Oryctolagus cuniculus: one gene and its partners. The protein of the gene in region 5 binds, or shares a complex with, the protein of the main gene of each other region. Links are inferred from orthologs where the notes say so. Each region holds a gene or a part of one and is shown on either strand. Other genes may lie near its edges.

What was found.
Region 1: BRD8 (region 5) and KAT5 share a complex: the UniProt entries of both Homo sapiens proteins name them as parts of the SWR1-like complex. The link is inferred for Oryctolagus cuniculus from reciprocal best matches to the Homo sapiens genes BRD8 and KAT5.
Region 2: BRD8 (region 5) and MORF4L2 share a complex: the UniProt entries of both Homo sapiens proteins name them as parts of the nuA4 histone acetyltransferase complex. The link is inferred for Oryctolagus cuniculus from reciprocal best matches to the Homo sapiens genes BRD8 and MORF4L2.
Region 3: BRD8 (region 5) and ING3 share a complex: the UniProt entries of both Homo sapiens proteins name them as parts of the SWR1-like complex. The link is inferred for Oryctolagus cuniculus from reciprocal best matches to the Homo sapiens genes BRD8 and ING3.
Region 4: BRD8 (region 5) and EPC1 share a complex: the UniProt entries of both Homo sapiens proteins name them as parts of the nuA4-related complex. The link is inferred for Oryctolagus cuniculus from reciprocal best matches to the Homo sapiens genes BRD8 and EPC1.
Region 6: BRD8 (region 5) and MBTD1 share a complex: the UniProt entries of both Homo sapiens proteins name them as parts of the nuA4 histone acetyltransferase complex. The link is inferred for Oryctolagus cuniculus from reciprocal best matches to the Homo sapiens genes BRD8 and MBTD1.
Region 7: BRD8 (region 5) and MEAF6 share a complex: the UniProt entries of both Homo sapiens proteins name them as parts of the nuA4 histone acetyltransferase complex. The link is inferred for Oryctolagus cuniculus from reciprocal best matches to the Homo sapiens genes BRD8 and MEAF6.

The regions. Positions count from the first base shown.
Region 1 is NC_091432.1:6,003,633-6,008,222, forward strand, and holds the start of KAT5 (histone acetyltransferase KAT5), read right to left. Parts: upstream 3,072-4,590; 5' UTR 2,830-3,071; coding exon 2,818-2,829; coding exon of another isoform or gene 2,719-2,817; coding exon 2,652-2,718; intron 2,340-2,651; coding exon 2,271-2,339; intron 2,176-2,270; coding exon 2,039-2,175; intron 1,776-2,038; coding exon 1,620-1,775; intron 1,534-1,619; coding exon 1,459-1,533; intron 1,358-1,458; coding exon 1,283-1,357; intron 1,131-1,282; coding exon 882-1,130; intron 685-881; coding exon 595-684; intron 1-594. UniProt on the Homo sapiens protein: Catalytic subunit of the NuA4 histone acetyltransferase complex, a multiprotein complex involved in transcriptional activation of select genes principally by acetylation of nucleosomal histones H2A and H4.
Region 2 is NC_091453.1:89,765,902-89,770,616, reverse strand, and holds the start of MORF4L2 (mortality factor 4-like protein 2), read right to left. Parts: upstream 2,955-4,715; 5' UTR 2,842-2,954; intron 1,758-2,841; 5' UTR 1,720-1,757; intron 1-1,719. UniProt on the Homo sapiens protein: Component of the NuA4 histone acetyltransferase complex which is involved in transcriptional activation of select genes principally by acetylation of nucleosomal histone H4 and H2A.
Region 3 is NC_091434.1:156,958,095-156,962,154, reverse strand, and holds part of ING3 (inhibitor of growth protein 3), read right to left. Parts: coding exon 4,043-4,060; intron 3,171-4,042; exon of another isoform or gene 2,667-3,170; coding exon 2,474-2,666; intron 1-2,473. UniProt on the Homo sapiens protein: Component of the NuA4 histone acetyltransferase (HAT) complex which is involved in transcriptional activation of select genes principally by acetylation of nucleosomal histones H4 and H2A.
Region 4 is NC_091444.1:102,669,788-102,673,847, reverse strand, and holds part of EPC1 (enhancer of polycomb homolog 1), read left to right. Parts: intron 1-1,950; coding exon 1,951-2,069; intron 2,070-2,713; coding exon 2,714-2,855; intron 2,856-2,955; coding exon 2,956-3,319; intron 3,320-4,060. UniProt on the Homo sapiens protein: Component of the NuA4 histone acetyltransferase (HAT) complex, a multiprotein complex involved in transcriptional activation of select genes principally by acetylation of nucleosomal histones H4 and H2A.
Region 5 is NC_091437.1:25,968,681-25,972,740, reverse strand, and holds part of BRD8 (bromodomain-containing protein 8), read left to right. Parts: intron 1-298; coding exon of another isoform or gene 299-358; exon of another isoform or gene 359-678; intron 679-2,978; coding exon 2,979-3,257; intron 3,258-4,060. UniProt on the Homo sapiens protein: May act as a coactivator during transcriptional activation by hormone-activated nuclear receptors (NR). Isoform 2 stimulates transcriptional activation by AR/DHTR, ESR1/NR3A1, RXRA/NR2B1 and THRB/ERBA2.
Region 6 is NC_091448.1:27,007,617-27,011,676, reverse strand, and holds part of MBTD1 (MBT domain-containing protein 1), read left to right. Parts: intron 1-454; coding exon 455-589; intron 590-1,217; coding exon 1,218-1,306; intron 1,307-1,502; coding exon 1,503-1,737; intron 1,738-2,362; coding exon 2,363-2,418; intron 2,419-2,735; coding exon 2,736-2,840; intron 2,841-4,060. UniProt on the Homo sapiens protein: Chromatin reader component of the NuA4 histone acetyltransferase complex, a multiprotein complex involved in transcriptional activation of select genes principally by acetylation of nucleosomal histones H4 and H2A.
Region 7 is NC_091438.1:135,249,172-135,253,231, forward strand, and holds part of MEAF6 (chromatin modification-related protein MEAF6), read left to right. Parts: intron 1-1,810; coding exon 1,811-1,898; intron 1,899-2,019; coding exon 2,020-2,065; intron 2,066-4,060.

The DNA of each region.
Region 1 (4,590 bases), on a different chromosome or scaffold from region 5:
GCCGCCTCTCAAACTCCCTGCACGCAGGCCAGGGCCGCCCCCCCTCGCGCTCCAGTCTCAAGTTAGCCTTATCTCCCAGCTGAGCCTGCTCCCGTCCCTGCGTTCCTGCCGCCTCCCCCCTCCTCTGTCCCTCTGAGCCCCACTCCACTCCTGGGTCCCCTCCCCGCCTCCCCTGCCCTCACAGAACCCGAGTTCTCAGGAGCTCTGTCTGCCGTGCCCTGCCAGAGCCCACCTACGGCGGAGGTCAAGGCCGATCACGGGGCTGGCCTTGGCACGGCGGGTTAAGCCGTCTCCTGCAACACCCGGCTGCTCTGCTTCCACCCCAGCTCCCTGCTGTGGCCCGGGAAAGCAGCGCAAGATGGTTCAAGCGCTCGGGCCCCTGCACCCGTGCGGGGACCCGGATGGAGCCCCAGGCTCCTGGCCCAGCCCCGGCCTCGTGGTCATTTGGGGCGTGAACCAGCGGATGCCACGCTCTAACTTTGCTTTTCAAATAAACAAACCTTTCTTAACACCACGGGCTGAACAAGCTGCCGGCTGGGCAGGCCAGTGTGCCCCCGAGCAAGCAGCAGCCGCCCGCTGCCCGCGGCCACTGACCTTGTTCTTGCGCCCGTCGATCTCGAAGAAGGAGATGGTGCCCTTGCGGTAGATCTCGTTGCCAGGGGGGTGGCGTAGGTCGCACTTGGTCTGAGGAGGAGAGGAGGGTCAGGGGCGGGCGCTCCTGGACTCCGGGGGGGCGCGGGGGCGCTCCTGGACTCTGGGGGGCGGGGCGGGTGCTCCTGGACTCTGGGGGGCGCAGGGGCGGGCGCTCCTGGACTTTGGGGGGCGGGGCGGGTGCTCCTGGACTCTGGGGCGCAGGGCGGGCGCTCCTGGGCTCCGCCTACCAGGTGGCGCTGCAGGCACTTGAGGCTGCGGCCGTACTTGAGGCAGAACTCGCACAGGTAGAGGACCGGCAGCGCGGTGAGCTCCTGCGGGTACGGGGAGAAGTACCACGGCTTGAGGCGGTGCCGGCCCAGCTCGATGCACTCGATGTTCTTCATCCGAGTGACGATGTCGTCGTGGCTCCGGTCGGACACCAGGCTGCCAGTCATGCGCGGAGCCGACGGGATGCCATCGGAGCTGTCCTGGGAGTCCTGCCGGGGCCGGGGGAGACGGCACGTTACAGGAGCCACGCGCCGCCCGTCTGCGACCCCGGGGCAGCTGCTGTGACCCCACTTCTCAGAGACCAGGCCCAGCCCCCGCCCACCCGCCTCACGGCCCCTCCCCACCCAGCCCCCAGACCCACCTCGTCCGTGCCCAAGCAGTTTGACTTCCGCTTCCGCCCTGGCTGCGCTGCCACCGCCCTACGGGCTGACCCATTCTGTGAAGAGACGGCGGGAATGCGGGGGGCTGTGAGCTGAGCCGGAGACGCCGGCGGGGGCAGGGCAGGCAGGGCAGTGAGACGAGACGGCTCGGGCCTACCTGGGGGAACACGGAGGCCGGGGCCGTCTCGCTGGGCACGGGAGTCGCTGGCGACACCACCTCCACCTTCCGTTTCTGCAGAGGGAAACCGAGGCCGGTGGGTGAGAAGGTAGGGAAGGGGGACCTGAGAGGAAAGAAGGTCCCTGAAGTGCTGAGGGTACCGTGGAGCGGTGGCCGGGCTGCAGGCAGGAGCTGGAGGACAGCGGCGGGTCGGGCTCACCACCGGGAATGGCCTCCCGCTCCTTGGGCAGGTTGAAGCGGAGCGTGATCTGGACCGGGATTGGCAAGGTCTTCCCGCTGGCCTGGGCGGAGGCCGGCTGCAGAGATAGGTCCAGGGTCTTCCTCTGGGGTGGGGAGGCGCAGGGGACGAGGGGCCCCCTCGGCGTGGAGTGACTGAGCCCCGCCCGCTGCCTTCTCAAGGACTGGCCACTGGACCGGAAGCTACATCTGCAACCTGGCCCCATGCTTTGCAAGCTGGAGTCGGGGCGGGGGGTGCTGCCTCCTGCCCAGCCAGGAGCCCCCTAAGGCCGAGAGACGAGAAGAGTAGGAGGCAGGAGAGGTGGAGTGGGGCCCTACTCACCACCTCTCTCTCGGGAGATCCGGGGCGGGACCCAGGCAGTCCGTTCTTGGTCGGGGTCTTGGCCTCTTTCTTGGGGAACTGGATTTTCTTTAGGTCCAGCCGCTCGTGGGTCACCCATTCATCCAGGCGTTTGTTGACTGCAGCGGTGGGCATGGCTCAGGACGGAATGCCAGAGGCTGCCCCCGCCCCGCGCCCGCCCCGCAGCCCCACCTCAGCCAGGCCCAGGACTCACAGTCAATGTAATGGACGTAGAAGAGCTTCCGGCCACTAATGTCCTTCACGCTCAGGATCTCGGCCAGGGCTATGGGAACGGCACAGGCAGAGGCCTTAGACGGGCAGGGCCCCGAGACGCCACCCTCCTAGGACCCGAGCCCCACCCCTCGGCCGGATCCCCGCGCCCCAGCACTGCGCAGCTCGCGCCCAAGCCCCCTTCAGACACCAAGTGCAACCCACTCTCCAGGCCCCGCCCTGTCCAGGTCGGAACGGCTAGAAGCCACGCCCCTCCTTTGGAGCGCCAGCGCCCCGCCCGCACCAGCATTCTAGAAGCCCCGCCCCATTCGGCTGACTCCCTCCCGCCTCGTATTTCTTAGCCCCGCCCCCCGACGTCACTCACGCCACTCATCTTCGTTGTCCTGGTTCCGCCGCAGCACAGGTAGGCGGCAGCCCTCGATTATCTCCCCCTGGGGAGACAGCGCGGCGCCAGGGTCGGCTACTGTGGGGCCGCGGGCTCTACCCACCTCCCCTGGTTCCCTCCGCCCCGCCCCGGGCACCGGACTCACCACCTCCGCCATCTTCCCTCCCTCTACTGCCACTTCCGGCCCCTCTGGGAGACGTCACTTCCGGGATCGCGAACGCTGCAGACCCGGGCCCTCTGAGCCTGTTTAGTAAAGGACCCTTGAGGGACACCGCCGCCCGGCTGGAAGCGGGGAGCTAGCCCTTTTGGCCGGCGCGAAAATGGGGTGCTCGGAGCCTCGGGCCAGGTCTTGGGTGGAACCTCCACAACGTGCGCCGCGATTGGAGGAAAACTGAGTCCGTCACGTGACGCCCACCGGGTGCGACGCCGGTCACGTGGCTGCGGCGCGGGTCACGTGGGACTAGTGTTTGGGCTCGGACGGGCGGCCGCGTTCGGGAGTCTCCTAGTGGCGGCGGGAGGCGTCGCCCGGCGCCGGGTGCGCGTGCTGGGCGCGGGGCGGGCCTGAGGGCGGGCGGTGGGCGTGGCCAAGTTGGACAAGTGGGCGGGAGTAGCGGGACGGCTGCGGGGCCGAGTTCGAGGCGCGGGGGCGCGGGTGTCTAACCTCGTACCCCGAGTTCCTGGTTGAGAACCGGTGTGTGCGTTATTTTTGCGGCCTGTAGACGTGCGGTGAGTTCCCGCCGTGTGCCGGGCTCCACTGCCGGCCCTGGAGCGCGTGGGGGCGAGCGGACAGACCCCTCCCCTGGCGGAGCTCGCGTTCCTGGAAGTTGCGGGGAGGGGAGGGTTAATGGCCGCGGTTGCCTCTGTTTCAGGGCTAAGTGTTGGGGAACCCCGAAAACCCGAGCAGGGTGGTCAGGCGCGGGCGGTCGGGCTGGAGTAGCCGGGCAGCGCTGGCTGAAAGCTTAACTATTGGAAAGAAGGCTTGAAGGGACCCAGAGAAAGTTCCAGACGCACAGGCCGTCCCGCGGGGGCAGCCGCGCCGCGCTGCACGCGCTGGCCCGTGTCTGGTGGACAGGCAGACGGGTGTGGGCCTGGCGTGTCCCGCGGCCCGTGGGCCCCCACAGAACACCAGACGCCGGAGTGAGGGGCAGGGTTACTGTGGGGGGGGCCCTGGCGCGCAGAGCAGCGGCCTGTGGCGAACGGGTCCTCCGGGGCCGTGCGGAGGGAGGACGTGGCCGGCCAGGCCCCTCAGCGTGGGCTGGAGCTGACCCTGCGGCTGGGCCTTGGGAAGCCCGCGCTCGGCTGAGCCGGGCTGGGCTTAGGAAGACGGCGCCGTTTTACTACACCCCGCCTTGGTCTTTGTGAAGCTGCTAAGAAGGAAGAGAGAGAGGAAGAGGTCTGGAGACGAGGGAGGGCCACGTGTTCGCGAGCAGGTCCTGTTGGAACTCCGCCGGGCAGGCCGGGAAGCAGGGGCAGCGGCTCCCATGGGGACGCGCGGCGCTGACAGCGCGGCTGGGCCTTGGGGCCCCCTGGCTGCGGGGGCTGGGGCCGAGCATGGTGTCTGGACTGCGCCCTTGACCAGCACCCGTGCTGTTGATGTGTTAAAGCGGTTGGGGGGACAAAACAGTATTTCTTAACAGGAGAAGTTGTTTGAAGTTTAAATTTCATTGCCCATAAAGGATGTTTTTAAAGATTTATTTATTTGAAGGTTACAGAGGCAGAGAGAGAGTCTTCCATCCGCTGGTTCACTCCTTAATTGGCCACAATGGCCAGCGCTGGGCCAGTCTGAAGCAGGAGCCAGGAGCTTCTTCCAGGTCTCCCACGTGGGTGCAGGGGCCCAAGGACTTGGGCCACCTTCTACTGCTTTCCCAGGCCACAGCAGAGAGCTGGACTGGAAGTGGAACAACCAGGACTGAATCGG
Region 2 (4,715 bases), on a different chromosome or scaffold from region 5:
TACTGTGTAATTGAGCAAATGAGAGCTTTGGTACATTGTTGGGAGATAGCAGATATGGTTGGAGAGGAGGGGCACTGTTTAGGGCAAGAGGTCCTCAGAACATGCTCTTTCGAGGCCCAGAGGTTGAGATAAGCCGATTTGCAAACAGGGACAGAGAGGAGAGCAAGGGCAGTTCCTAAAAGGTACAAAGCTGAGATTCACCCAGCTACTCCCAGGCTCGAGTTGTGGGTGGGACATCAGTGAGCCCAGGCGGGTGCAGCCAGCTTTCAATAAAGCTGGTCTGTGAGACTTGGCTGAGAGGACAGAGGAAGATTGATGTTTGCCCCAGAGTGGGGCTGTCAGCTGTGCTCACCGCCTCGCCATGCTCCCAGCTGTAAACAAAAGTCCTGGCCCTTCATGGCACTGCAGAGCAGCCCAGGCTGGCGTAAGTCTCTGAGGACAGCTTGACCATTTTCTCATCCTGGCTGACAACCAGAAGACAGAAGAAACAATAGAAGGTTGGGGGGGCGGGGTGGGGACCAGGATTGCAAGGGGGTGAGAAGCAGTGACCAGTGGGAAGGAATAGTCAATTTCAGATCTCAGGTCTTCGCATGCAAGTTGTAGGAATCTTTTACACAAAGTACATCCCTTTCCTATTAGCTTCACGGATAATAGTGAATATCTAAAGGAGGTCTGCAGAGACTCTAGTGCCTCATTCATTCATTCATTCATTCAATGACTGTGTCACACAGTCCCTCATTGTGCTAGATACCCTGGATGATGCTAAAGTAATAGAAAAGAGTTTGCAAATCCAAGTAGCTTACATGTGAATCTGTGTGAAGTTAAGTAACTACCCTGAATAGTAGATCTTTAATGCTTAGCAATACGTATGGAATAGAAATTTATAAGCAGGAACAGTAAGTCGTATTGGGGTGTCATCAGTGGACCTGGCACTGGGGAGGGCTGTAGAAACATAGGCACTGTTTGGCTAGGAAGAAAAGGTACCAGGCATTCCAGACCAGGACGAGGTCCTTAGTGAAAATGAGACCTGCTTTGGTTAAAGGAGAAGGTTAGTGTCCGGGCCTCTCTTCACTCCTCACTCCCTCACTTCCCTCACCATGGCGAACCCAGCCTGCAAGTCTCACTTGGAATGTTACTTCCTTACGGAGCCCTTCCCTGATGCCCAGCCTCTAGTTAAGTGCTTTTGCTTTCTGTTCCCTCAGCACCTGTGACACGCCTCCTTGCAAGACACCACTGTTTTCACCTGCTGACCTACTGTGGTTTCCCTACAATCTGTTCTCCACACTGCGGTCAGATTTTTTTTTTCAGATGAGAATCTTTTATACCACTTCCCTCTTCAAAGCTCTGTTACACTTCGCACTTTCCTTCTCCTTTGTCTCCTTGGTCCTTCCTGCTGCTTTGCTTCTTCCTTTTCTTTCAGGTCACATCTGAAATGTGTCTGCCTCAGGGAAGCCTTTCTAGACATTCCCTCCCCAACTTGGGCCACGAGTAGGTCAGTGTCCCTCTTACGTATTTCCACAACACCCCCCCACCCCGTTTTCTCCATCTCACTATCATCCAGGAACTTAGTCCAAGTCTGTCTTCCCTGCTAGAATACAAGATCTATGAGGCTAAGTGCTAAGTTTCTTCTTAACTGTGTATACTGTGTGTTTAGCACAGTTCCTATTGTGGTAGCTACTCCACCATAATTTGTGAATGAATCCAAGGGAGATGACGCACCTGCAGGTGAAAGCTGGTCTCAAGGACTGGTCCTCCACCTATATGCGAAGGGAAAACATTAAAAGTTTTCAATTTTGAGAGGAAGAACTCATGAGAGAACACTGACTTCTGAAAACACAAAGCAAAATGAATAATCAAGCAAAACCCAGATAGTTCTAACCTTAGCTTTCCCCAAACCCTAGCCTTCTCATTATCTTGTGGACTCATGTACTCTCCCTTCCTGATTCTTCCCCTCCCCAACCCCTCCTCTAAAAACAGAAGAAATTTGCTTATTGGTTCTTCAAACCAGAATTTTGACATTATGGCCAAATGTGCTTATGTCCACATGTAAAATTGTTCATTTGGTTGGAAGATGTCATAGAGGCAGTGTGCACCCACCCGTACCCCACAGAAAGACAAAGGGAGGAAATGGAGACAATTTTGTAGCTGCAGTCCTCACTGGATATTTCTTGCTTGAGGAATACCATCCGGATGGAATCAGTGACATCTTAAAGCTATAGCAATTTGTTTTTACCTTTCCTCTCTCTCTTTAATCATTTACCCTAAACATGAATCCACCACTAAGATATTAGAGAGGTTACATAAGTAGCAGAAAGAAGATAATGGATTCATTTCCATAATCTGTTGTTCTTGTCTCTTGAGGGCCCTGGATGAAGAGGGTTATATACCTGGAATTTGAAATCTTAATGAAATAGGATAGGAAAGGTTGAACTCCAAAATCAGTGTAGTACATTTCATTAGAATAGTGGATTATAATTATAAGATATAATTAATTATAAATATAGAAAAAATGATAATTAATGAGAAACCGCATTTTCTTCTTTCTGAAAGAACCAACCTGCAGCTTAGGTCAATGAAATGATGATACCAGCTAGGGCTAAAGGAAGTATAAGTCTAAGGAATTCACAAAGAAACTCTAGTGGAGGAAACCCTAAATTTATAGGATGTGGAGCTTGGCATGACCATTTTATTTTTGTAATATGATCCTGCTGCCAAGATTTGGCTATCCCCTTCCTATGGGGACTATGATAATTGAACCTGGGTATCAGTCAAAAGACAGACAAGGAAGAGGTTCAGGACTGAATAGTCATTATAGGAACAGTTTCCTCTGATGAAGATTACCTTTAGCCTTGAGTCTCAGTTCAGGAAGTCGAAGAAGTGAGCCTCTGGAGCTAATAAGTGATAATACTCTAGTCTCTCTAGTCTTGCCCTTTCTATTCTATTTTTCCTTTCACAGCTACAAATGAGTTAATGGAAAAAGGAGGTTACAAGTAGGGTCTGGGCTTTGCCCATTCGGACCCTCAATACCCCATGTTGTCTGATGAAGCGACAAGACTGAAATGATCTGGGAAGGCCCTCCCAGCTCTGTTATGCCAGGTTCTGGAATTCTGGGACATTGTGACCTGCTGACCCACTTACCTTATGGGAAATCCCATGATTCATTAGGTTTCTAAAAGGACCACCTTTTTTTTTTTTTTTTTTTTGACAAGCAGAGTGGAGAGAGAGAGAGACAGAGAGAAAGGTCTTCCTTTGCTGTTGGTTGACCCTCCAGTGGCTGCCACGGCCAGCGTGCTGCGGCTGGCGCAGCACACTGATCCGAAGGCAGGAGCCAGGTGCTTCTCCTGGTCTCCCATGGGGTGCAGGGCCCAAGCACTTGGGCCATCCTCCACTGCGCTCCCGGGCAATAGCAGAGAGCTGACCTGGAAGAGGGGCAACCGGGACAGAATCCAGCGCCCCGACCGGGACTAGAACCTGGTGTGCCGGTGCCGCTAGGCGGAGAATTAGCCTGTTGAGCCACGGCACCAGCCAAAGGGCCACCTCTTTATTTCTATATAGAAGAATTAGTGTTGAAAGTTAAATGCAGTCAAGATACCAAATGTGTTGCTGTGACCAGTGGTCCCAAGCATTCTTGTCCTTTGATGGTCAGGACTGTCTTTAGCATTAAACTGAGAACTGATAAGCCTAGAGGCCTCAGCCAGGCATTGATAGTAAGTGTAAGGAGAGGTAGGGTGACAAGTATTTCGTGTTTCTGTAGGTTGATAATTTGAAGAGGGTCTTAGACCTAGACATGATATCCAATTATTATATTCCTTTGTCATGGCTGTCCTTCAGTTTAGTCTGTTCTCAAACAGCAAGGTCCTCTTAGAATACTAGCCGAATAATACACTTGTAACATCCCTTGACTGGTTAAATGGCTTACCTGTGACAGTTACAGATGGTATAGAGTTTTGTTGTTGTTGTTGTTGTTGTTAAAGATTTATTTATTTATTTGAAAGGCAGAAGGGCTTACAGACAGAGAGGGAGAGGCAGAGAGAGATCTTGCATCTGCTGGTTCACTCCCTAGATGGCTGCCACTGTCAGTGCTGAGCCAGGCTGAAGCCAGGAGCCAGGAGCTTCCTTCAGGCCTCCCACATGGGTACAGGGGCCCAAAGTCTTGGGACATCCTCTGTTGCCCTCCTGTGTGCATTAGCAGGGAGCTGGATTGGAAGTGGAGCAGCCAGGACTTGAACCAGTACTCATATGAGATGCCAGCACTGTAGATGGTGGCTTTACCTGCTGCACCATAATGCCAGCCCTGATGGTAGTTTCATTTCTCAAATTTTTTTAAAGCAGCAATAAGCTCTTCCCTTGCTCCCCCTCCCTACCCCAAATAAAATATTATGGTGATGTGAATATATAAGGTGAAAGTGGAGTTACTCTTACTGAAATGAGTGTGTGTGTGTGTGTGTGTGTGTGTTGCTACCTGTTTTTTTCTTCCCTTAAAAGCCTAGGACTCCTTGAAGATGATTTTTGAGATTCTTTGCCTAATAGATAAGTCATTGTACTGAGAAATAGGAAACCTGGGTTTTGCTTTTGTTGTGAGACTTGGATGAGTCCATTAACCTCTCCCAGCCTCATTTCCTCACCCCTTGCATGGATACACGGTTTTCTTACCTGAAAGCTTTGCTCTGAGGATGATACACCACTTCAAGGCTTTGAAAAAGAAAAATATAAAT
Region 3 (4,060 bases), on a different chromosome or scaffold from region 5:
CTTGAATTCATGTTAGTTCTCCATGGACTGCATAATTTTCAGACAGGGTTCAGCAGATGGCACACTTTCTGACTCGCAGCACGAGTGAGAATATCTTTACCCGTCCTACGCATGGGAACAACTTCTCTGCATACCAAGTTTTGGGTGCTCTCAATTTTTCCCTAAAAGTCCTAGACATACTCTATCACCTTTTAGCTTTCTACTGGTACAAAAGACAAACCAGGAGTCATTTTGATTTTGTTCTTTTGTAGGTAACGTACTTTTATTGCTAGGGTATTTACAAGATACTCTTTCCTTAATTATAGATACTAACAAAAAGGTTTGTCAGGTAATAGTGGAAGAGCTAGAAAACTTAATTTTTTTTTTTTTTTTTTTAGTGGCTGGTGCTGTGGTGTAGTAGTTTTAGCCTCTCTAGTCGTTACAGCCATTTGGAGAGTGAATCAGTGGATGAAAGACCATTTTTTTTTAGCTACATCATAAAACATAATAAATTGTCATTAGATTTAAAGTTTAAATGTGAATAAACTGAGCCTATCAAGAACTAGACAAAACTATACAAACAAAAGAAAATGAAAAAAATGTATCAGAGGACAAGGTAACAGGAGAGGAAGGCTTTCTAAACATCTCATTAATGGGTGACTTCTAAAGAAAAAGAATGATAGCCATAATTAAATAAAACTGAAATATTAAAATTAAAAAAACAAAACAAAAGCAAAATATTAATAAATTATCTAATAAAAACAATAGAAAAATAAGTCAACACCATTAGCAATCAACTCATTAAAAATGTCAACAGAAGTATAATCTTAATACTTCGGCTGGCGCCGCGGCTCAATAGGCTAACCCTCTGCCTTGCGGCGCCGGCACACCGGGTTCTAGTCCCGGTCAGGGCGCCGGATTCTGTCCCGGTTGCCCCTCTTCCAGGCCAGCCCTCTGCTATGGCCCGGGAGTGCAGTGGAGGATGGCCCAAGTGCTTGGGCCCTGCACCCCATGGGAGACCAGAATAAGCACCTGGCTCCTGCCTTCAGATCAGCACGGTGTGCCGGCTGCAGCGGCCATTGGAGAGTGAAACAACGACAAAAAGGAAGACCTTTCTCTCTGTCTCTCTCACTGTCCACTCTGCCTGTCAAAAATTTTTAAAAAATAAATAAATAAAAAATACTAACATAAATTATGTGACATAAATGTATGAGACAAATAAGTTTTTAACAGAATATCTAAATAGTGTTGCAAAGAGTTTAGAAAATAGGCATGCTGATTAGTTTCCAGTAATAAATTACTAGAATATATTTTGTCTGTATTAGATATTTATAACTCAATTTTATTTCTAATGGATTATCCTTGAATTCAATTGTATAAAATGAATTACATTTAAAAATAAAAATGTCTATCATAATGTTATTTACAAATTCAAAAACAAATCAAAATCACTAAAATGATCTATAGCTAGATATTGCTTCAATAAATTACAGTACATGATATAAGCGATAATCATGAGATTTCAAAAATGACCTTAAAGAAAAATTTTGTTTGATTACCTGATTTAGTTAAAAAAGCCAGGTACTAAAAAAGTCATTGTGGTTCCTACTGTTAAACTCACTATACGACATGTGTGTATATGTACATATGTGTTATAGAAGCAATGTTTGTGTCCCCCCAAAATTCATTTGAAGCCCTAAATCCCAATATGTATTTGCAGACAATACCTGTGAAGAGGTGGTGAAGGTCATAAGGTGGGGTTCTAATCTGATAGGGAAGGTGCCGTATCAAAAGACATTAGAGCTCACTCCCTCTTTCTGCAATGAGTCCACAGTGGAAGGCCACTGTCTGCAGACTAGGACGGGAGTCCTCACCAGGAACCAAATGAGCTGGCACCTTTGACCTTGGACTTTCCAGTCACCAGCTAATACATATAACTGGTGTCTGGTAGTGGTACACCGAAATATTTAATTTCAGGTTATATCTAAGGACTATCCTCTTATTTTTAGCAAACTTCTGACTTTTATAAGGGGGATAAAAATATATCAATTAAAGCAAGGGTAACTTTTAACTAGAGTAAAAAGAGTGCTTAAAAAATGAAACACTTCCAGGGCTGGTGCTGTGGCACAGTGGGTAAAGCCATCTGCTATGCCAGCGCCCCATACTGGCCCCAGTTTGTGTCCTGGCAGCTTCACTTCTGACCCAGCTCCCTGCTAATGGCCTGAGAAAAGCATGGAAGATGGCCCAAGTGTTTGGGCCCCTGTCACCCATTTGAGAGACTTAGATGAAGCTTCTGGATCCTGGCTCAGTCTTGCCCAGCTCTGGCCATTACAACCATCTGGGGAGTGAACCAGCAGATGAAAGTTTGACCTCTCTCTCTCCCCCTCTCTGTTACTCCATCAAATAAGGAAATAAATCTTAAAAAATAAAAAAAGAGACACATCTTTCTAATTCATTTAGATTATGCTTCCATAGACACGGATCAGACTCTTACCTGATTACAAATGCAGTATCGAGGTTCATTTGGGTCATAAGTCCAATCAACCTGACTGTTTGAATCAGACTCTGGCACTACCGTTGTTTGTTGAGAGATTTCTTGTACAACAGTTGATGACGAAGAACACGATGACAAGGAAGAAGAGGAGGAAGACGAGGAGGACTGCTGGCTTGAAGACTTGTTGTTGTTCCTGAAAAAGTATTACCAGTCTTATTTGCCCATCATCATTATCATCATCATCATCATCATCATCATCATCAATTACCTGAGAATAACTCCTAAATAAGTGGTATCAAAAGAAATGGCATCAATGTACGAATGTATGTCTAACATTAAGCTAAAGTCATCTGATTTAAAAGCACACTTACTTAGAGCAACAAAAAATAACACTTTTGTAAACTATATTTATTTATTTATTTTTGACAGGCAGAGTGCACAGTGAGAGAGAGAGAGAGAGAGAAAGGTCTTCCTTTTCTTTTGGTTCACCCCCCACAATGGCTGCTGCAGTCGGTGCGCTGCGGCCGGCACACAGCGCTGATCCGAAGCCAGGAGCCTGGTGCCTCTCCTGGTCTCCCATGCGGGTGCAGGGTCCAAGGACTTGGGTCATCCTCCACTGCAGAGAGCTGGACTGGAAGAGGAGCAACCGGGACAGAATCCGGCGCCCCAACCAGGAATAGAACTCGGGGTGCTGGCGCTGCAGGTGGAAAATTAGCCTAGTGAGCCAGGGCACCGGCCACTTTTTTTTTTTTTTTTTTTTTTTTTGACAGGCAGAGTTAGACAGTGAGAGAGAGAGACAGAGAGAAAGGCTTTCCTTTTCCATTGGTTCACCCACCAAATGGCCTCTGCGCCAATCTGAAGCCAGGAGCCAGGTGCTTCCTCCTGGTCTCCCATGTGGATGCAGGGCCCAAGCACATGGGCCATCCTCCACTGCCTTCCCAGGCCAAAGCAGAGAGCTGGACTAGAAGAGGAGCAACCGGGACAGAATATGGCACCCCAACTGGGTCTAGAACTCGGGGTGCTGGCGCCGCAGGCAGAGGATTAGCCAAGCGAGCTGTGGCACCGGCCCCAAAAAATAACTTTTATAATGGTTTAGTTTTACTCAGAATTTTTTGGTTTTTTTTTTGGGAAAAAAAAGTACTCCAAAAAATCCTTTTAAAAAGAAATCAAAGATTTTAAAATAATTAAAATCAAAGTTACCACTTACTGTTGACTTATATTATAGGCAGTACTTTTAAGAATTAATATTAGTTATGGCTACCTTACAGATATTCTCTGTATTTTTAAGCAGACTGAATATGATTCATCAAAACATAAAGAATACAAATACACAAAAGTAGTAAATGAAAACTATGACTATCAAGCAACATGTGAATACTTACTGTGGATAGGACAGGGAACCAAGAGTGTTAAATTCCAAAACTGTTTGGCATCAAAATAAACACATCTTTTAATACCATTTTTCCATGAAGTCTGTGAAGTACCCTCATATGAGGAAGCCCAGCAGGGATGCCAAGTGGCCTGAGCACCCAGCAAAGGTACAGCAGGTGCAGTCACGTGCACACTTACTTGCTCTTCCGACCACTG
Region 4 (4,060 bases), on a different chromosome or scaffold from region 5:
TTATTCATATTGGCTTCCAGTTATCACTGACTTTTTAATTAAAGCACAGCACCAGCAGAGTTCAACAACAAAAAGTGCTTTCATTATAAAAAGTTTTCTATAAAAGCTTGTCAATGAATGTAAATGTACTATCTTTCTAAATACGTGATGACCCAACCTTCCAAAAATGATCCATTTTTTAAAACTTGCTGACCATTCCTATTAGAAAATCAAGTGTGAGGCAACAGACTCAAAATTAGGAAATGAAAAAGTCTAAATCAGAAATAGATTGGCAGAAGTATCTAATGAAATAAGGATCTTCAGGTTTAAAGAGTTGGCTTTTTTAAAATATAGGGGTAAATATTAGTTACGAACATTCAGGACAGCATTAATTCTTGTGGATTTTCAAGCTTTGATATAACACATTTCTGCTATGTGGAAATGGTTATGTGGCTAGACAGCTACTTTTATATCAATATTTAGGAATCATCATATGAATAAAACTCTTCTCTGTGAATCTCACATCTGTGAATTGCAAACAAAGTAGGAAAAGGAATTTATCAAAGGCCAGACACCAGCTAAATACATTCGTAACACACACACACACACACACACACAACAAGAAAACCAGCAGTAAAGGCTTTCTAATAAGTTGCTTTTTTGCCCTTGCAGCCCTAGAACTTAGTTTAGCTCAAGTATAGGAATCTGTGCAGGCACTAAGAACTTAAGAGTTTTTCTTGAATATTAATGATTTTTTGATACATTCAGACCATGGTGGAATTTGTAACAAAAATTTGCTAGTTATATCAAGAAAAGGCGTTCTGAGGGACAGTGAAAGATTTCTTTGGTGAGTTAACAAATGCAAATCACATAGCTTGATGACGTGATACTCTTAATAACTAAGCAGTAAGCAATAGCAATAAACTAGCTGACAGTATTTTGAAAACTTAAACTTTAGATTGAGGAAATTTGCATGATTATAGATTCCCTGGGATCCAGGGATGCATGATAAACTTTTTTGGTTTAAAATAATTCTTACTCAAACATCATAGGCTTCTTAAAGAAGCCTTCCTAATCCATTTGTATTGTGATTGTATGTGCTTTTTTTTTTCCTTTTTTTTTTTAATTGGCAAAAAAGAAAAGAAAAAGGTTTCCTTTTTAAAAACTGCACACACTTTTTTGGGGGGTAATAAATGAACATTTTTTTGTTTGTTTTTTTTAGAACTGAGCTCTCCATAGACAAACATAAGTAGCATAACACAGTGTCTTTCCTCAGACATCATTCTGTACAGTAAATCAACATAAACAACTCCGTTCTTATTGACTGGATTTTTTCCAGGTGGGTTAATTGGGTGGGGAAAATTAATTAAACTTAACATTGGAACCTCTTTTCTTCCTGCTAAACTTAAAGGATGAATTCTTTAAAAAGAAAGTAATAAACCAACAACCTTCTCTTTCATATAGAGGAAATTTTTGTAAATGACTAAAATGAGAAAATAAGTAGAACAGTTAGTGTTTATACACAAAACTGTTAGGGCCCACCTGAATGAATTGAGAAGGTAATATGGATAAAATGGAAACCAGCTGGCAATTAACAGATTTCTTCAAGCTCAGTGCAAAGTTGAATTCCAAATCTGTGGATTAAAAAGCTGATATTACCTTCTACATTGTCCAGTACAAGTGTCACAGCTTTGCAAAACTAATGGTGTCAATACTTGGGAAGTGAGCAGTTCTCTTTCCTGTGTTTAAGAGAGTCTAATTTTCTATAAATTCAAGCCACTCGTGTTAAATGTGGTAGCAGAAGTGCTGGCATTTTCATTTGGGCAGCGATCATTAGCAGGATGATGAACCTTTGTCAGAGGCTTTAATTTTGCACACACAAAAAATGTTAATGCTGCCTTTGTTTTGGTATCATAAGAGGTGTATGATATTTGTGCATTTGTATAAAACGTTTCCTCATTTTATGTTCAGCATTTACAGCCGAACAATACCAGCAACATCAACAGCAACTGGCACTAATGCAGAAACAGCAGCTTGCACAGATTCAGCAACAGCAAGCAAATAGTAATTCCTCCACCAACACATCACAGGTGAGGGGTTTGTCTGTCTTATGATTAGCCCTCATTGTTGCCCACCAGAGTTCACCTCTAGTTACCAACTGTTGTCATAGAACCTTGCACCTAACCAGCAGAAAAGTGGCTTTCGCCTGAATATACAGGGTTTAGAAAGAACTTCACAGGTGAGTATGGAAGCTGTCGCCTCTGCTCCCTACTTGTAAAAGTAAAATAAAACATGAAGTGAAATGAGATGGAGACACTGTGTTCAAATCATAATTTCTCCATCCAGTGCATTAGCTTATCTAACCTTCCCAGAGGTGCCTTTGGGTGTGTGTGTGTGTGTTGAAAGAAGTGACACACTCCTTTATATGTATTTGCAACGCTCTGAACTAGTTGACTAGCACATTTCTGGTCCAGCATTTTGTGATGGAGCTTTACTATTTCCCCTTATAAAGGCTTATTTGGTGATGGTTGTATACAGATTATTTGTTGAATAACGTTTGAGTTAAAGATTAGTTTTTCATTCCTGAAATGTATCACTATCAAAAGAGATGAAGAGATCTTAGTGGTTTGCCATTTTCATTTATAGTCAAGCTGACTGTGTTGCACCTGCATGTCGTTAATGCCAGCCTGAGGCTAAGCGATGCTGATTGATCGCCCATACGTTCTCTGTTCAGGGTTTTGTTTCCAAGACTTTGGATTCTGCTAGTGCTCAGTTTGCTGCTTCTGCTTTGGTGACATCAGAACAGCTGATGGGGTTCAAGATGAAGGATGATGTGGTGCTCGGAATTGGGGTGAACGGCGTCCTTCCAGCCTCAGGTAGGACGGGCACGTCCGAGTGGTCTTGGTTCTGTGTGTAGCGTGCATCTGTAATACAGCGAACGTGAATGTGGCTTAGATGCTTTCTTTTTCTCTCCAGGAGTATACAAGGGCTTACACCTCAGTAGTACGACACCAACAGCACTTGTGCATACCAGTCCATCGACAGCAGGCTCGACCTTGTTACAGCCTTCCAATAGTACACAGACTTCAAGTTCCCACAGTGCACTGAGTCATCAAGTAACTGCTGCCAATTCTGCGACAACTCAGGTTCTGATTGGGAACAACATTCGATTAACTGTACCTTCATCAGTTGCCACTGTAAACTCTATTGCCCCAATAAACGCACGACACATACCTAGGACTTTAAGTGCTGTTCCGTCATCTGCCTTAAAGCTGGCTGCCGCAGCAAACTGTCAAGTTTCCAAGGTTCCGTCTTCATCCTCTGTAGATCCAGTTCCAAGGTGAGTAGGTACTTTAAGGCTAAAGTGTTTGAAAGGTATGAGGGGTGGGCACTGTGGGCCAGCAGGTTAAGCCACTGCTTGGGACACCTGCATCCCACGTCAGAGCTGGTTCTCATCCCAGGAGCTCCACCTCAGATCCAGCTTCCTGCTTATGTGCCTGGGAAGGCAGCAGATGCTGGCCCAAGGACTCAGGTCCCTGCTACTCATGTGGAACACCCAGATGGAGTTCCAGATTCCTGGCTTTGGCCTGGCTTGGCCCTGGCTTATTAGGGGCATTTTGGGAGTGAAACAGCAAATGGGGCCAATGCTGCAGCTCACTAGGCTAATCCTCCTCCTGCAGCGCCGGCACACCGGGTTCTGGTCCCGGTTGGGCGCCAGATTCTGTCCCAGTTGCTCTTCCAGGCCAGCTCTCTGCTGTGGCCCGGGAGGGCAGTGGAGGATGGCCCAGGTCCTTGGGCCCTGCACCTGCATGGGAGACCAGGGGGAAGCACCTGGCTCCTGGCTTCAGATCGGCACAACGCGCCGGCCATGGAGGCCTTTTAGGGGGTGAACCAACGGAAAAGGAGGACCTTTCTCTCTGACTCTCTCTCTCTGTCAAAAAATAAATAAAAAATAAAAACAACCAGCAAATGGAAGACCTGTCTCTTGCTCTCTCCAAGTAAATCTTTTAAAAAACATGGAAAATGAGATCTGACTTTAATCCTCTGTCATTGTTTTCTGTTCGTCAGTTTTTATTAAAGT
Region 5 (4,060 bases):
ATTTGGACCTGGGTGGGATGACTATTCATCACTCTGTGGGACCCCAGGTGAATTTCAAGGACTGTGTGGTGGGCAAGAGCAGGATACTGTCCTACATTTCTTCTTAAAAACTACCACGTGTTCTTTAGCCACTCTCTGGGAAGACAGAAATACACCCCTCATAACTCTGGATTTTTCTGCTGATTCTTTCCCTTTTACCCCCAAGAAATCAAATCCCCAACCTTGTTGTACTTTGTTAGCGGCTAACCAGCTCACTCATTTTCACTCATGCTCCATTTCTTTTTCTGTTGTCATGTAGGATGGAGGAACCAGGGGACGCCGCTGTGCCATTGAAGCAGATATGAAGATGAAAAAGTAAAGCCTGAAAGTATCCTCTTTGAGCTGACTCTGAAATAGAAGTAAACAAGATAAAGCTTGGGCTTGCAGGCCCAGTTCCAGAAGTGGAAGTTACAGAAGAGGAGTGCCTGGGCCACATGACATAAGCTGGGAAAATCTCTCTCAGAGAGTTGAAGTAGCACAATTGTCTGTTTTAGGGCAAAAATCATGGGCTGTGTTAATGTCCTAATGTGTAGCTAACAGATTGTAGCTAGTTTGTACTGTCTGTGAAGTGTACAGATTTTTTTAAAATAAACCTGTGAAGTGTATGTGTATACAATAAATGTAAAAGAAAAAATGCTAGCCTTTGGTGTGTGCTTTTTGTGTGTATATTTGAAAATTTTGTTTCTTCCTACATTATTTGTGAAAATATTATTAGAGGATAAAGTGACTTTATAATGTGAATTGCCTACTTAATTGAGAGACGGTGAGTAAACAGGATTGAATTTATAATTACTGTTTTGAGATATTGTTCAACAATAACTTAGTTATTCAGCTTTTGAATGAGAAAACAAGTTTTTTAGAGTTGAATTCATAGCACTTTTAAAAGAAGATTCAAGCATGCTACATGGGTAGCATTAACCTTTCTTTCAGGAAAATTTGTCCTACTTCAGACTATCTGTAGATCATACCTTTTTTTTTATTTTTATTTTTTAGGGGCTTATCTGTGTCTTAAGAGCCCCTGATTTATTTTTTATTTTTTATTTTTTTATTTTTTTTTTTTGACAGGCAGAGTGAACAGTGAGAGAGAGAGACAGAGAGAAAGGTCTTCCTTTGCCATTGGTTCACCCTCCAATGGCCGCCGCGGCTGGCGCACTGCGCTGATCCGATGGCAGGAGCCAGGTGCTTCTGGTCTCCCATGGGGTGCAGGGCCCAAGCACTTGGGCCATCCTCCACTGCACTCCCTGTGGGTAGGGCTCTTGTGAATAGAATTCTTTATATTGCTGTTGGAAGGCTAATCTCAGTTTAAGAATTAACAAATTTAGGCACTGAGTTCTATTCCAATTTTTGTTAACAACAAAAACTTTAGCTCATTAGTGATAATGAACTAATTATGAGCCTTTTTATTGTATAGAGATATTAATGGGGTGTTATCTAGACTCTGCATTGTTGAGAAAGTTTTAAGAAGATCATGATAATATTTTTTGGCCTTCAAAAGGAATTACAGCAGTTGTCAGGAAGTAGGAAATAATAGTCCTATTGTGGTGATGGAAAGAAATCAACCCAACAGTTAGAAAATGAAGTACCTATAATATTCGGTTGCCAAAGCTATCCACAAACAGGCATGTGATAAAAACACTGAAGCAATAAAAATTGCAGGTTTGTGGGGAAAGTCCATTAAAGGACATAGGTATTGCTTTAGAAAAGGGATGGATGTGCTTTGCAAGATGAGTTAATAGTGTTGCACATCCATGGTAGGAGCAATGAGATAAGAGAACAGTGATCATACTAAGGAATAGTGAGATATAACACCAGTCAAGAGGATAAAGTAGGACTAATTATGGAGGACTTTTAGTGGTAGACTAAGAACATGTTTGAGATGAAAGCTGTTCTTAAGCCTTGACACTTGGCAGAGAGCAGGTTGAAGTAAAGATTGTTTAACTCTTAAGGAGCCTGACATTTCCCCAGAAACAAAGGATGATGACAGAAAATTGTGAAAAAATTGCTGACTTTAAGAATAATTTTGAGTTGCGTAGACTAAGAAAATAGTGTTGGTGATAGGGATAAAGAAATTGAGAGCAAATTAGGAAGAATATTGATTTTAGTTATAAAAATGCTGAGTTGAAGCAGATAGTAGGATTTCAAAAGAGAATTTGCTTTCAGATGCGTGGAGAAATGAGATCAGAATGTATAAAAGGTTGAGAGATTTGATAGAGTACAAAGTTGAAACAGTATGCATATATGTGTACATTGTGTGTATACACAATGACAAGAAACAGGAAATCATCTTCATAGAGGTCAAAGTTGAAACTTAAAAAATGCTTTATTTTTTAGAGGAAGTGTTAAGGAAGCTGGACTATGCAAGGAAATAGAAGACCAAAGTTTATTGAAAGTCAAAAGGGATTGGAGAAAGTTGTAAGAGAATCAGAATAGGGTAGTTAAGAAAGCAAGGGAAGGTATTTTTGAAACTTGAGGATCTCGTTTTGAGAAGTGATAGTGGATTTGACGATAAGGATGCCAAAGGTAATATCAAAGTGTATTTTCAGTATGTAATGGTAAACAGCTTAAAAAAACAAGGAAAGTATCCCGTGTTCCTTTTAAGTTTATTGCCTTGCAACTGAGTTTATGGGTGATTGGGGGATAGAGGAAGTCTGTTAAGCTAGCTATGCTCTAGCTCTTTCCCTTTTGGAGTATAAGGAAATAATAGTTATTGGGTAATACATTGTACTGCACTGTACAGTATAACATCTTTATTTTATTAAAATGGGACTTCTTTATTCCTAAAGATCATGTCATCTCCCAGCATTTTTCTTCTGCTATGTTTTATACTTCTTGATGAGACATTTCTGATATTTATCTTTCTACTGAACTTAGGAGATTGAGGTCCCTGGGAATATGAATTGGAATGATTTTAATGCTCTTTTTTTTCTGTGTATTTACAGATGGGGCATGAGTGGGTTTGGTTGGATTCTGTACAAGACTATCCCAGTGACTCTGAGTTGAGCAACTACTACAGGTCCCTCTTCAGCTCATGGGACTCCAGTCTGGATCTTGATGTGGGCAGCTGGAGGGAAACTGAGGATCCAGGGGCTGAGGAACTAGAAGAAAGCAGCCCAAGGAGAGAACCTAGTGAGCTGCTTGCAGGGGATGAAGGCAGTGAGGAATCTCAGAGAGAGGCAGAGCAAGTGAACCGCCAGAACCTCCTCCACTTTCTTTCTGAGGTAATGGTGAGCTGCTACTTCCAAAGCTGGGAGAACCTCCACTTTCTAAGAGAATGTTTACCCTCACATGTTTCTAATGCTCTTAATATTGTTTACTAAAATAGGAGACTCACATTGACAGAAATGATTTAATATTGTATCCCTGGCACTTGGTGCTGATACAGAGTATGCACCAAGTGCATTCTTTAAAAATATATTTATTTATTTATTTGAAACGCAAAATGACAGGAAGGGAGAGAGAGATCTTCCATCCACTGGTCCACTCATGTTCTCAACAGCCAGGTCTGAGCCAGGCAGAAGCCTGGAACCAGGAACTCCATTCAGGTCCGACATGGGTGACAAGAGTCCAAATACTTAGGCCACCTGCTGCTGCTTTCCTCCATATGCATTAGCAGGAAAATGGATTGGAAGTAGGGCAGCTAGAACTTGAATCAGCACTCCAGTGTGGGATGCTGACATTGCAAGTGGCAGCTGAAACTGCTGTGCCATAGGGTAAGCTCCCAAATTTTTGACATTGTTTCAAGATTCCAGTCATTAGGGGCCTGATTCCCACCCAGAACTGGAATTTCTGAGTGTAAGATTGCCTTGAGAGTGTCTGAAAGATTAATCTTGTATAAACTCTCCTTGAGTTTTTTTTTTTTTTTTTCTTTAAAGATTATTTTCAAAGGCACAGTGATGGAGAGACAGGCAGATCTTCCATCCACTGGTTCACTCCACAAATGGCCGCAATGGCCAGGGCTTGTCCAGGCCAAAACCAGTAGCCAGTAGTTTGGAACTTCATCCAGATCTATCAGATGGGTGCA
Region 6 (4,060 bases), on a different chromosome or scaffold from region 5:
ACAAGGTTTTACTAACTTGTCACAGTCTTCTCTGTTATTATCAGAACTAAACATTAGAGAACCATTCTACCCTGTTTTCACTGAGGAATTTCTTTCTAGAATTTGAGAAATTATGAGTAAAATTGAAATCCATTCAGAGGAGGAAGCCACACTCAGTACAGTTAAACAAATTACATCTAATAAATGATTCTCAAAGTGTAGTCTCTGGACCACCACCACCACCAGCAGCAGCAGCATCCGTCATCTGGGCACATGTTAGCAATGCAGATTCTTAGGCCCGTCCACAGTCTACTAAGCCAGAATATCTAGGACAGGCCACAGCCATCTGTCTTTTTTTTAACTCTGCTGGTCATTCTATTGCAGATGCCAATGAAAGTTGGACTCCACTACCAGATGCTACATAATTTTATTTCAACTTTATTTTCTTAATTATGTAATAATTTGTTGGTTTCAGGTTATAATGCGCTTTTAAGATATGAAGGATTTGAAAATGACTCGGGTCTGGACTTCTGGTGCAATATATGTGGTTCTGATATACATCCAGTTGGTTGGTGTGCGGCCAGTGGAAAACCTCTTGTTCCCCCTAGAAGTAAGTAACTTTGGAAAATGACCCTAGGGGCAAGTGTTTGGCCCAGTGGCTAAACCAGCACTTGGGATGCCTACATCCCATATCAGAGTTCCTGGACTTGAGCCCCAGGTCTGTTCCCAACTCCAGTTTTCTGCTGTGGACCATGGGAGGCAGGTTGTGATGGCTCAGATGATTGAGTGCCTGCTACCCATGTGAGAAATGTAGACTGAGTTCCCAGCTCCTGGCTTAGGCCTAGCACAGCCCTAGCCATTGCAGGCTTTTGAGAAGTAAACCAGCAGCTGGGAAATCAGTCTGTCTCCCTCCATTTCTTCCCTCTCCCTCTGTCTCTCTGCCTTTCAAATAAATAAATAAATAAAAATTTTTAAACGCAAAATTAACCTTACTATAATTTTAAATATATGTACTTAAAGACTATTTCACACACAGTAATACTAAGTATTAAAATATTTTTGATTGTCAGGGACTTTACCACTAAATGATATTCTTGTTTTCTCTTTTTTTTTTTTTTTTTTTTTTGTTACTTTTCAAGATCCTAACTGATAATCTTACTTGCAGAGAAATAACAAATAATTTATGAATCAGTTCTACTTTTTGCTAAAGTGTAAACTAGTTATTTCTTTTGTTTTAGCTATTCAACATAAGTATACAAACTGGAAAGCTTTTCTAGTGAAAAGACTGACTGGTGCCAAAACCCTTCCTCCTGACTTCTCACAAAAGGTAAAAATAGGATCTGATAAAGGACTGAAGAGCTCTCAAAAAGAGGGTAATTTAGAGCATGTCTAAGGATTTCCTCATCAACTGGATGATCTACATTAAATATCGAGTACATTCAGCATTTTTAAAGTACAGTATTAAACTACTTGTGGGCCTTTGTCATGAGTTCCAAACAGGTGTTGTCTGCTTTTGTTTCAAGGTTTCAGAGAGTATGCAATATCCTTTCAAACCTTGCATGAGAGTAGAAGTGGTTGACAAGAGGCATTTGTGTCGAACGCGAGTGGCAGTAGTGGAAAGTGTAATTGGCGGAAGATTAAGGCTTGTGTATGAAGAGAGTGAAGACAGAACAGATGACTTCTGGTGCCACATGCACAGCCCATTGATCCATCATATCGGTTGGTCTCGAAGCATAGGCCATCGATTCAAAAGATCTGGTAAGCATCTATTACAAGAATTTCCTATTTAAGGATCATTGAGGCTGAATTATGCTGTTTGACTATTTTTCTCTGCAGAATAGCATAGATTAAAAGCAGCATTCTAGCTGTTTGAGCTGTTTGTTCAACTTTAATTATTGAAAGGTTCGCTCCATGTTAATGTCCTATTTCCTTTACATTCCTTCCACTTGTTCTCATTCAAAAAAAGTAATGTGCTGTGGTCCAAGGCTGTGATGGTCTCCATAATCTTTCTTATCTGGCCTTTTAGAAAGATCTAAAGATGGCCTTTCCCTTTCCATTCAAGTTTGTAATCAAAATAACAGGATTAGATGTGGTTAGACTTGATACTAAACACATTAAAACATACCTCTAAAGTTGTAATTCCCTAACTGTTGGGATTATCAGCATTCTGATTGGCTGAAATGTATTTCCTAGCATATGCACATGTAGCCTGAAGAGATAAAAGACTATTAAAGAATCTTATTCACCATAAATGTAGAAGGCTTGTCTTTTTGCCATGTTTTTAGAGTATTACATACCTTGTGAGTTTGAAGCCTTCAAAGAAACGTGGTTTTTTGGTCTTCTCACAAATGCTGACAGATTAGTATGTAACTTTTCCTTGTAGATATTACAAAGAAACAGGATGGACATTTTGATACACCACCACATTTATTTGCTAAGGTAAGAAGTTTTTATAAGAACCCTCATTTGTAAATTAGTTTTGAAAGAGGGTTGTGGGTTTTTTCCTAAAATTTTGGAAATCACTTGTGTTCACTTAAAAGGATTAAGACCTTATAATCCATAGGTGTCACACTTTTATTCTAATTATTCTTAAAATCTGTCTGTGTGTCTGAAGTTTATTTCCTAATGAAAAATTTGAATTAGAATACTAGGTAGGTAGGAGAAGGCATCTGGTAAACCTTTTCAAATTTTTTGCATTGTAATCATTAAAATGACAATGTTTATAATAGTAGATGTGCTTTCATATGATTCTTTAGGTAAAAGAAGTAGACCTGAGTGGGGAATGGTTCAAAGAAGGAATGAAATTGGAAGCTATAGACCCATTAAATCTTTCTACAATATGTGTTGCGACCATTAGAAAGGTAAGAGAGTAGGACTCACAGTACAGAAATACAGTAGAAGGCGGCCTCTGCCATATTCATTTAGACATTGTATGTGTGTATCTGGATGTTGACTGAGGAGAGAGATACTAGTCATTTCAACATAAATTTGTGTTCTCTTATCAGGTCACCTTTTTTTTTGTTTGTTTTTTAATGTGGTTTGCTGTCAAGATTGTCATTTTGAATCTGCTACTACTTTATTTGTGAAACTATATCCTAGCTGAGTTAGAAGAATATTTATCAAAGTTACTTTCTGGTCAGACTCATTCAACACAGCCCAAGAAGGCGAAGTTTATGTTCAGTTTTCTTTTTGTACTCTTTCTCTTCTTGATAGTACTTTATTCTCTCTTTTCCCTCTCACCTGGAACTATTTGTATGGATCTAGAAGAAAGATTCTTATTTCTCAGTACGCATCAGAATTCCCTGGGAAACTTAAAACTTAAGACAGGTGCACCCTCACATTCCCCTGTTAGGATTAAATAGGTTCGGGTTGAGTCCCTGGCATTGGCATTTTTAAAGGCCCAGGGTGATTCTTTTGTACAGCTGTGGTTAAGAACCACTGATCCAGCCGGCGCTGCGGCTCACTTGGCTAATCCTCCGCCTGCAGCGCCGGCACCCTGGGTTCTAGTCCCGGTTGGGGCACCAGATTCTGTCCTGGTTGCTCCTCTTCCAGTCCAGCTCTCTGCTGTGGCCCTGGGAAGGCAGTGGAGGATGGCCCAAGTACTTGAGCCCTGCACCCACATGGGAGACCAGGAGGAAGCACCTGGCTCCTGGCTTCGGATCAGCGCAGCGCACTGGCCGTAGCGGCCATTTGGAGGGTGAACAAATGGAAGGAAGACCTTTCTCTCTGTCTCTCTCTCTCACTGTCTAACTCTGCCTGTCAAAAAAAGAACCACTGATCCAGAATCTATTATTTGAAGTTATAACTTAAATTATGATTTCCATTTAAAGTCTAAAACTAAGCCAAAAGAGTTAAAAACAATTATAGCAGCTGAGTATCCCAAATACCTGTGTTCAAGGTCATATAGCTGAACAAGACTGGGTCCATACCCTGTTCTTCCTCTTTACCTTACTAGTGATAACAGCCACCTATAAAATTTAAAACATGGGACCAGGCATTTGGCCTAGTGGTTAAGATACCAGTTAAGATGCCAATGTACTGTATTGGAGTGCCTGAGTTTGATGCCCATTTCTGGCCCCGG
Region 7 (4,060 bases), on a different chromosome or scaffold from region 5:
AGTTTTTTTATTGAAATAAATACAGTGATGTGCACATATCCTGGTTATTCAGTACAATGAGTTTTCACAAACTAAACATACCCACCGTTACCTTTCATTGTTTGCCCCTCAATGTGGTCAGAGGAGTCCCCTAAGTTGGCTCCTTGGCCCTTTTTGTATGACCCTCATTAGTCTTGGAGCAGTTTGCTGCTTTCTGGCCCCCAAATTATTCCAGGCTCGACTTATCCTTTTCTTGACTTAAAGCTGGTATCCACCATTTCTCTAAGGAGCTCTGGATCCTTTATCTGTGTATTTATTTATGTTTAGATTTACTTATCTGGAAGGTTGAGTTACAGAGAGGAAGAGAGAGAGGGAGCTCTTTTGTCTATTGTTTCATTCTCCAAACGGCTGCAACAGCCAGGGCTGTGAAGCCAGGAGCCAGGAGCCAGGAGCCAGGAACTCCATCCAGGTTTCCCAAGTGGATGGTAGGGGTCCATTCATTTGGGCTATCTTCCACTGCTTTCCCAGGTACAGTATCAGGGAACTGGATCAGAAGTGGAGCAGCAAGGACTTGCTGGCTTTGGAAGCTGCAGCTTAACCTGCTGTGCCACAATGCTGGCCCCTAGTTCTGTCCTCCCCTCCCCTCCCCTCCCCTCCCCTCCCCTCCCCTCCCCTCCCCTCCCCTCCCCTCCCCTCCCCTCCCCTTCCCTTCCCTTTCCTTTTTCTCTCTTTCTTTCTCTCTTTCTTTCTCTCTCTCCTTCCTTCCTTCCTTCCTTCCTTCCTTCCTTCCTTCCTTCCACACAGAGAGAGTAGAGGCAGAGAGAAACAGAGAGAGAGAGGTCCTCCATCCGATGGCTGACTCCCCAAATGGCCGCAATGGCCGGAGCTGTGCTGATCTGAAGCCAGGAACCAGGAGCTTCTTCTGGGTCTCCCATGTGGGTGCAGGGGCCCAAGAACTTGGGCCATCTTTTGCTGCTTTCCCGGGCCATCGTAGAGAGCTGGACAGGAAGTGGAGCAGCCGGGTCTCGAACCGGCGCGCATACGGCATGCCAGCACTTCAGGCCAGGGCGTTAACCCCTGGCCTCTAGTTCGTTCATTCGTTTGTTCGTTCGTTCTTTCTTTCTTTCTTTCTTTTTTTTTTTTTTTTTTTTTTTTTTTATTTGACAGGTAGAGTTATAGACAGTGAGAGGGAGAGACAGAGAGAAAGGTCTTTCTTCCGTTGATTCACTCCTGAAATGGCCGCTACAGCTGGCGCTGCGCCGATCCGAAGCCAGGAGCCAGGTGCTTCTCCTGGTCTCCCATGCGGGTGCAGGACCCAAGCACTTGGGCCATCCTCCCTCTGCCCTCCCGGGCCACAGCAGAGAGCTGGACCAGAAGAGGAGCAACCGGGACTAGAACGCGGCGCCCATATGGGATGCTAGCACCACAGGTGGAGGATTAACCAAGTGAGCCACGGCGCCGGCCCCCTAGTTCTTTCTTTAAATTTCAAACTTAAACTTATGTAACTGAGATACTTCCTATTACTAGTCTCTGTTGGTTATTTTTAGTAGTAAGCATTAAAATCAATCCATATGCAAGTGTTTGTGAGGCAACTGTAACACTAGTGTCTTCCTGGGTGGGCGCAGCCCAGCCCAGCCCTGGGAAACGTGGCTGGCTGTGTCGTGTGAGCGTGGGCCATCCGCCAGTAGTCCAGGTGACCTGGAGCTTTTCTGGGTGGAACTTGATTAAATAGAAGCAAAGCTCTCTGTGCATTTGCCCTGGGGCATCCCTAGCCTGAGCCATAATCATAGACAGCTTGGTGCTTATAATGAAATCCTTCTGTGTGTTGTAGAAACTCCAATAGCAAAAATGATCGAAGGAACCGGAAGTTTAAGGAAGCCGAGCGGCTCTTCAGTAAATCCTCGGTGACGTCGGCAGCTGTAAGTGGAGGCCGGCTGTTGTGGGGCGGCCGCCTTCTCTCTCCCTTCCTTCCCTGTCCCTCCTGAGTGCCCTCCTGAGGCCTGTGGTCACTTTTCTAGTAACTGGTGGCTTCTCTTTCAGGCAGTGAGTGCGTTGGCAGGAGTTCAGGACCAGCTCATTGAAAAGAGTAAGTTTATTTTTTGACTGTGTTCATCAGTGTGTTTTTAAGCTTCCATGGCCCCTGATTTTGGTTCACCTCCCACTGTGATCTAAGGACTGCATCTCCTGTGCTCTCCCTCCTTCTAGAAGCTGGGAAGCTTTTGGGTATCCTGAATCATTTTTGCTTTTGAGGAAGAAACCACTGTGTCTTCCTGCCTCTTCGGTCACGTTCAGGTCGGTTTAGCAGCTCAAAGTTATGTCTCTGCTCCTGGCAAGTCTTTTATATTTCTGAGGGAACTTTTTTCCTAGCAATAAGAGGAAAACTTTTATGGAGCATTTCACACACACCTAATAAATCCGGATGTACCCAGCGGAGGGGGGAGTTCTGATCCTGTAAACAGAGTGTATCTGCGTGCTGTTGAGTGTAAGATGGAGAGTAGGCGCTGTGCACGTGGTGAGCAGTGATGATGTTTCCGTGTGTGGCTGTGCAGCCTGATTCTGTTTGCTTGCCAGTGATGGGACAGAGATCTGTACATTGGTCTTTCCGAGTCAGACTCTGTAAAGCTCTGCTGGTGTTATCCCGGGTTGCCTGTTTTTGAGACACAGCCTCCTTTTTAGTATTGTGCCTGTGTGCTTCCTCCAGATGGTGTATTTTGTGGGATCCAGTTTTTTTGCAATGGGGCACTAGTTTGAGGAAAAGGAATCTTAGTAGTTTGGGAGTTAGAACTACACAGTGACTTCAGTTATGGTCTCTGTATACAGATTTCTAAAATTGTTGCTCTGCCCCTAACCTCTTTGTTTTCTTCTAGACATTTCTACTCAGATGTTCCAATGCAAACATTTTGTCTAAAATAAACATTGTATTTCCTTTAAAATTCATGTGCCCAGTTTTTGGTTCCATTCTTCCTCCATTACAACGTTAGAGTCATTTTTGATACCTTTTTGCCAGCCTAGTCAGTTGTACTGAGTCCTTTTGATTTTCCTTTACGGTGACTCTTATGCTCAGTTAGTGCCACTTCTAGAATGCAGAGCTGCGTCATCTCCCCGGGTTGAGCCACACCCTTGGAACGCATCATGTCAGTATTCCTTGGTTGTTGCTGAGTTGTACTGAGTGTAGAAGGTGGCCTGTATGTTAGTAATAGCGGGCTACAGGCCTCTGTGTCAGCACTAGTTATCATCCCCTTTTGGAACAGTTTTTTTATGCAACTTGTTTGATTTTTTTATTGAAATCTTTTTCTTTTAAATATTTATTTATTTGAAAGTCAGAGTTAGAGGGAGAGACAGAGAGAAAGAGGTCTTCCATCTGCTGATTCACTCCCCAAATGGCCACGATGGCTGGAACTGGGCTGATCCGAGGCCAGGAGCCAGGAGCTTCTTCTAGATCTCCCTTGTGGGTGCAGGGGCCCAAGGACTTGGGCCATCTTCTGCTTTCCCAGGTGATAGCAGAGAGCTGGATTGGGAGAGGAGCAGCCGGGACTAGATCCATCGCCCAAGTGGGATGCCAGCGCTGCAGGCGGGGGATTAACCCTACTGCGCCACAGCTCCGGCCCCATCCCTCGGCAGTTTCTTAATCACTATGCCACACACCTGCCCTTCTAGCTATTTTGAAAAATACAATATATTATTGTTCATTAAAGTCACCCTACTGTTCAGTAGAACACTAGAATTTATTCCTGCCATCTGTCACTTTGTATGCGTTGTCACAGCTCTTCCTATCTCCCTTCCTTTCCTCGCCTTTGGTAACCACAGTTCTACTTTCTATTCCTGAGATTAACTTTTTAGATTCTACAAATGAGTGAGACTCATGTAGTGTATATTTGTTTTGTGCCTGGCTTATGTAACATTTCACTTAACATAATGTTGGGTTCATCACTATTGCTGAAAATGAGTTTCATTCTATTTAATGGCTGAATAGTATTTCACTGGACTATTTTTTTTTAAAGATTTATTTATTTGAAAGGCAACAGAGAGAGAGGAGAGATCTCCCTTTTGTTGGTTTACTCCCCAAATGCCAGCGGCTAGA